Arabidopsis thaliana: one gene and its partner. The protein of the gene in region 2 interacts with the protein of the main gene of each other region in a pairwise test. Each region holds a gene or a part of one and is shown on either strand. Other genes may lie near its edges.

Region 1 (3,727 bases), 9.8 Mb from region 2:
GTACTTGAAGAGAGATTATTCGGACAGAGCTGTTTGTGTTTAAGAGATAGCGAAACAAGAACCCTAAGAAAAGATGCGGCAGTGAGAGAGAGAGGTGCGACTTAAAAACCTAATCTATAAACCCTTCCTGAGTTATTATTCTCTGCGGCGGGTGCTATTTAACTGTGTTCTGGTCCTCTCTTTATCTATCCGTGGGCTACAAACTGGTTAAGCCCATTAACAATAATAAATATCAGCTCTCGTTGGTTAAAGCCCATTAATGAAAAGAATATTCGTTCTTAGTCCATTAAGAGAATAACTGGGTTTCAATACTGAATCCTCTAGGCGAGACACGGTTTTTCTCATTCTAAACCTTTATTGGGTTCAAAGTTTTATGTGCTTCAAAAATCAAAGATATAAATTGATTGCTTAAATGAATTTTCTCTAGCAGAGCCTTTGCTTGTCGACCTTAGACAGCTTCATCTTCTCAAGAGTATCAAACAGAAACATTTACAAGTGATTACACACTTAAGCTCACAACATTTACAACAAAAAAAAATCTAAAATAGATAGGTTATTATTTATTGTCGCGCTACTGTTGATGGATTTTGGTTTTAGTAATTGTTACCTCTTCGATCAAGTTTTGGCTACTTAGCAATATAGAACTCAAATTGAGTTAAGAGATTGTATTAGGGGATATGGTGTAATACTTTAATAAAGCCGTGAATGTCATGTAAGAAATGAAACTAGATTGAAAAATTAACACTCACGGCTTTATTAAAGTGTCTATTTTGTTTATGGATTGAAGATATATGGCTCTGTTTAGTAACTAATTTACATCACGGGAACACTTTTACTTGGTGCCTCAACATTTATAGCAAAACTATTCAACTACAAAACACACAAGATCAAACTTATGAAACCAATAACTCATCAACACGTGTCTCATCACCAACCTCACACTTCACCTGCACCACCTCCGACGTCAGATTCTCTGCTTTTCTCCTTCGTTTCAACTTCCCGTTTTCAGACGACGACGTAGAAGAGGACGACGACGACGACGACGAAGAAGATCTCTTAGACGTGATCCGAACCGGGTCAGGTTCACCGGAATTAACCCTCAACGGAAAATTCAATAAAGCGCGGGAACCACGCATCCTAAAAGCAGCTATATCGTAAGCTAAAGCCGCATCTTCCGCCGTCTCAAACGTCCCTAACCAAACCCTAGCTCCATTCTTCGCCGGATCACGTATCTCCGCCGCGAATTTCCCCCACGGTCTCTGCCTCACTCCTCTGTAATGCTTCGCCTTCACTGCCGTCTCCGTAACCGGTATCGCTTTCTTTGGTTTCTCCTCCATCGCCGTAAAGTTCTCAGTTGGCTCGACTTTAACCGCCGGAAAATCAAAAAGACAGCTCAAGTCCGATGATGACGTGTCAAAATGGAAGGCATCTTTGAGGAGTCCGTACACCAACATGTCCTCTGAATCATTCTCTTTCAATGGCAAACCTCCCCAACTCTCTGTGAAACACGAACTCGGTGTTGACTCATTGAGTCGCAGCTCGTTCTCTCCTCCTCCTCCTAGCAAGTGACGTGTTATCGACTCCAACAAAGCGTAGTCGGATTCTATATTGCACTGTCCGTACATTTTCAGAGAAACTAACTATAGAGTTTTTTTTGTTTTGTTGATTGATTTATCAAATATCTGAACTTTTTTCTATGTGGAAGGTGGTTAAGAGGTTTATATAGAGGGTACGAGGTTCACGAACCTGGAAAAAAAGAAAAAGTTTTTCATGTTTTTCCAAATTTGTTTTAGTTTAGTGGGTAATTAAAAAATATGAAAGTTGTGGATTTTTCGTTACTACGAAGGTTCGTGAATTAAACACGTGCGCTTTATCCACAGATATCACAATGAAGAAGGGTCAAGATGACGTCATGTGGTCATGACATTTCTGGAAGAAAGATGCTGATTTGGTTTTGTCTCTCAACTTGTCCCTTGTTTTGTCGTTCGGTTTTGAATACGATTCCCGGTTTTATTAGGCAAAACTAGTGTTTAATTAGTTTGTTAATCGAAAACCAAGGTCTTAATTCATTATACTTTGTTATATCGACATAAATTTTCAACTAAACTTATATTTCATCGCCTTACACTAGAGTAATAATTTTTGCTTAAGTATACTTTATTAGATAGTATTGGCAAGTATATTATATGTTTAATTACATGAAATCTAAGCTTAGATCTTGTTATGGTGGTGAATGAAAAATCTTAACGAGGTGGGCCATAATTATATGAATGGGGACACTGAAAGTGTCTGCAAAAATCGGGATACATTTCTCCTGGTCACCAACCAATTCATATCATCATCTTTCCCTTTCACCTTTCATTTTTACTAATTTCTAATTTAGAATTTTCCTAATTGCCAATGTCATGTTTATTTTAGTACTTTTTGATACAAGATTTCATGATTAAGAAATTCATTAGTGCCACTTTAGTCAATAAATATGGAGTAGTGAAATCATAGTGATAAAGTTTTCATGCAAAGCTCAATTTACAAACCACAGTTTAATCCATATTTGTTGCATTTCTTTTCTTTCTTTTTTGAAAATATAACAGCCTTAGATCTTTTTGTACACCAATGATTTGGAATTTTGTGGATAATTATTGAATTTCCATCTCTTTCTATTGGCTAAAAGTCAATAACAACAATAAGGCTCAAAGACAAATTAATGGTGGGTCTCTCACGTATGTCCACTTGCAAAAGGGACCTCCTTCACGGAAGCATAGTTTAGTCAATAGTCACTCAAACTCTCTAAAAATTAGTTTACTATATATTTTTAATCTATATTCGATTCCAAGAGTAGTTTTGGTTCAAACACATCATTCTGGTCAGATGGTTATTTCAATTTTGCTGTTTTTGAGTGTATATATGATGTTATGTTTGTAAACAAATGAAACTTTTAATTGATTACAAGAACATGAATAGCTCTAAATATGATTAAAAACGAATTTATTTATTTCTTTGGTAAAAGAATAATGATAATATACTTATGGATCCAATCAGGTTAAGTTCCGTTTTGCAATTAAATACTTTGATTAATTAAATATGAAAGTAGTAGTTGAACTTTCGTTTTTATGTTTGAACTCCGCAGCTAATCCTCAAATTATCTCTTTGGACGTTTCACATACATCCACTTTTGCTGTATCTTAGGAATATATTGTTTTCATATTGTTTCTTGTTTCTTTATGATTTGGGTTTATATAATTTTCAAATGTCATGATGATCATCATTTAATCTTAGTTGTTTTAGTCACATCTTATTATGCTTATTATTAGTCGGTGATAGTTTAATTTTAAGACGTAAATCATCTATTCTCATATTATGCTAGAACAAACTTTTTCTTTGTGCAACCTCCTAGAACATATAGTCGCCTATTATCCATGGATCCCAGATACTCCTCCAAGACCACCGAAAGGTTTAATTATGGATAGGAACCCTTTGGTCTACGTTAACACCTTGATTGACTTCCAGACGAAGAGGTGGAAAGTAGATCGTCTACGGGAGTTGTTCCCCCCCCCCCCCCCCCGAGGATATTACTTTGATTTTAGGGATAAAACCGAGGCTAAATGTCTCGCGAGATGGATATAGTTGGACATTGACTAAGTTCGGTAATTATACTGTCAAGACAAGATATGAAGCTGCGAGAGCCCTCTCTCGCCCGTCTTGCGACCACCCTCTTCAGGGACCTAGT
Region 2 (3,759 bases):
TAACACTAAAAAAAGTATGTATTTCCGATTTTTTTGGTAAAAATACGTAGTTTATACAAAATATTAAATCCTAAGAACAAGCACAACCGACTAAACCAAAACATAACGAATAAAACACATGTTAAATCATATTTTCGTAGTGTGAAAAAGGCAAAATCTACAAACTATTCAGAAAAGGACAAAATCCACAGATACCATCCCAAAAAATGGCAAATCGATAATTGATTCAAAGAATAATAGTTCTTACTTTAAATTGCTGGGGAAAACAATTATTCTCTATGTATGGGTCCTAAAAGAATTCAATTGAAAATTTCCGTCTAAATATTGTACCAGTCACATCTTAAATTTTCGAAATAAAATTCTACAATTAAAGTTTCCCACACTACGGTGAGCAAATACATTACTTAATAATCTTTTTTTGGGGGCAAAACATTACTTAATAATCAAAATACATAATTAAGTTAAAAAGAGATCCTTTAACCATTATTAATAAACAACATTAGTTTTTGTCTTTCGAAATGAAGAAAACACAAATACAAACAATTGAACACTTAGACTAGTTCTTCTCCCTCTTTTGTGATTAGAGATTATTGTTGATGTAAGGATCATAGACACCGGTGGTGGAAGGCATGTAACTGGTGGAAGCATGATCAACGGCTGGTAGTTGATTGGATGGTAGTTGATGGTAGTTGTAGCAGTTTCCGTCCACGAAAGGAATGCTTTCACGCCCTCCAACATGATTCATATGTTGTTCCACCATCGGATTCATGAATGATTGTTGTTGATTCAGATACTGATTCGAATTCAGATTCAAATTCAGATTCAAATTTATGTTGTAGAATTCTCGTTGAATCTGATTAAACAGATTATTAGGAGCCTGGTATTGAACCTGATTCATATTCTGATTTTGAAAAAAATCACAAACGTTAGTAGGAACAAGGTGTTGAAACGGTTCATGCAGATTTTGACTCATATTCATATTTTCATATGGAATATGATCAAAAAATCTACTGGAAGCAGTTACCGCAGTTGCGTCCGCATCAAGAAAAGGAGTCATATCGCCCGTAAGAACATGAGGATTGGTAGCATTAAGAGTATCTACAACCCCAGTTGTAGCATGAATAGGAGAGTCGGAAAATGACTCATCACCAATTTCGTCAACACCAATTCTAGTAGGAAAAGGAGAGACGGAAGACAACAACGACTCACCATTTTCTTTAATGGACTCGATCCTTCCGTTAAGCTGATCGAGATATAGATTTATACAAGATTGCAAATCTTGAAGGTCTTTTGCATCATAATGATACTGGGACATTTTGCCTTCAACACAATCAAACATAAATCGTCTAACCTGTAACTCTCGGTTCTCAGCAGCCAGGTTCTTTAGTTGCTCTTTTGCTTTGGTAATCCTCTCCATAAGGTAAGTCTCTTGATCCATCATCTTCTTGGTTCGGGCTGTCGGCGGCATCTCCAGAAACCTTGAAGCCACCTTTTTAGCACCTTCCCTTGACGGCCATGACTCTGGAACCGGTATGAATGGACTGTAGATGAGAGCACAAGCTTGGACACCACACAGAGTTGACAACTCGTGGAGTTTCTTAAAAATCCCGTCTTTCCTCTTTATGAAGGATGTTTTCCTTGATCTTTCATTAGCTATCAAAGATAGCTTCACCTTCTTCATCCCCATCAATTTGTTTTTTTTTTTTGTTTTGTGTGGTTTGTTTAATTTGTTTGCTCAAAGGATGTTTATATAGCAAAGAAAGGTGATTCTATAGACACTAGGATTCTTATCACTTTGGTGGACTAATTAATTCTAAATAACATCCAGGAAATCTCTTATCAATTAATTGACCAGGTAATTCATTATTATCTATATAAAAATATTTTTTCTTATCCAAAGTTTGGTACGTCTGATCCTAAATAATATCTGATGACAAAAAAAAGAAAAAAATCTATCCATGTAATACGAGGGGGCATGTAATATAATATTTTGTATTTCTAAGTTTTGTTTTTATTTTGGCGAATTAATTTCTCTTACTCTCATTGTTTCTTTTTACTAAGAATAATTTCTAGCTTACTTTGTTCTTAAAATATGAAGTTTTGCAATAGTTTTAAGTGATTGTACTTTTAAAATACAGTAATATATTGTCAATGTATATAGAATTGTGGTAAGCTAGAAATTACTCTAAAGTTTGTTATCTAAAGTAAATTTCAGAAAGTTTGTTATCTACAGTAATTTAAAGATGTACTCTGAATCATACAAATAAATTTTTAGAATGGGCAAACAACTTGGAAAATATGCAAAGTACATCTCACAGAAACGCCAAAAACTTTGAATAATTGGTATGAATGCCCTTTCAACACAATCCCTTTTCAGTATTGCCCTTTCTTATTTGTTATTTTCATTTATACCCTTTTTTAATTTTTAATGACTATTTACCCCTATTTAAAATATGTTTTAGGTAAAAAAATGAAATATTGATTTTTCCCGCCTATAATATTCTGAAAAAAATTTTCCGCCAAAAAATTTCAAAAAAACATTTTCTGCCATAATATTTGTTTTAAAAAAGATTTTTCCCGCAAAAAACAAATTTCGCAGGAAATAGATTTACAATGGATTTTAATAGATTTTTAAAATGTGTAAAAGGGTTTTAAAATATTTATAAGGGATTTTAAGAGATTTTTATAAAGTGTAAAAGGTTTTAAAAAGATTTACAAAGGATTTTAAAAGATTTTTATAGGGTTTTAAAAGATTTACAAGTGATTTTAAAAGATTTGAAAAGGGTTTTAAAAGATTTACATGTGTTTTTAAAGATTAACAAAGATTTTTAAAATAATTTTCTAGAACTTTAAAATGGTTCAAAAATTATTAAAGGGTTTACATGAGATTTTAAAAGATTTTTAATGGTTTACAAGGGTTTTTAAAACATTTTGTAAGGGGTTCATAAGAGTTTAAAATGGTTCAAAAATTATTAAGGGTTTTTAAAAGATTTTTATATGGTTTTTAAATAGTTTTCAAGGGTTTTAAAGGATTTAACAAGGATTTTTACAACATTTACAAATGTTTTTAAAATCCTTGTAAATCTTTTAAACACTCTTGTAAATCTTTTAAAATTATTGTAAAAGGTTTTAAAATGTAAAACAAAAGGTTTTAAAACGGGTTTTTAAAGTATTTACATATATATTTAAAATTTTTATAAAGATTTTAATAGGTTTTAAAATGATTTACAAGGGTTTTTAACAAATTTACAAAGCTTTTAAAAACCTTTACAAAGATTTTTAAATGCATGTTTTTAGCTGGAAAAACATTTGTTACAGAGAAAAAAAAATGGCGGGAAAAAAATTTGGCGGAAAAAAAAATATTTTGGTAGAATTTTTTTTTGTCAGGGAAAAAATAAATTCGGCGGGAAAATTTCAGTTCATAAATTACATGTTTCTCATTAGATGTGGGTAATTTGTTTGTTTTGCTCAAGAGAAAGAGTATTTTTAAAAATGGACTACATATAAGGGTAAAATCAAGAGTTTAATACATTAATATGACTACATGTATTTATTTATTAATAATGACATATAAAAAATTATTTATGAAAATTATTTTTATTTAGAAAATATATGCATAATTTGGGTAAAATCAAGAGTTTAATACATAAATATGATTTTTGTCTTTTTTTTTATTTGTAAAATTATAATTTATAAAATCATGTGGATATTATATCTTTTGGGGCATTGACCCGATATTATATATTTTTCATTGCACTT

The links. The genes of interacting proteins can lie anywhere in the genome.
Region 1: the proteins of AGL36 (region 2) and ERF2 interact in a two-hybrid assay, tested with the Arabidopsis thaliana proteins (one large-scale study listed by BioGRID).

The regions. Positions count from the first base shown.
Region 1 is NC_003076.8:19,171,130-19,174,856, forward strand, and holds ERF2 (ethylene responsive element binding factor 2), read right to left. Parts: upstream 1,828-3,727; 5' UTR 1,626-1,827; coding exon 894-1,625; 3' UTR 514-893; downstream 1-513.
Region 2 is NC_003076.8:9,341,707-9,345,465, reverse strand, and holds AGL36 (AGAMOUS-like 36), read right to left. Parts: upstream 1,682-3,759; coding exon 581-1,681; 3' UTR 455-580; downstream 1-454. UniProt on the Arabidopsis thaliana protein: Probable transcription factor.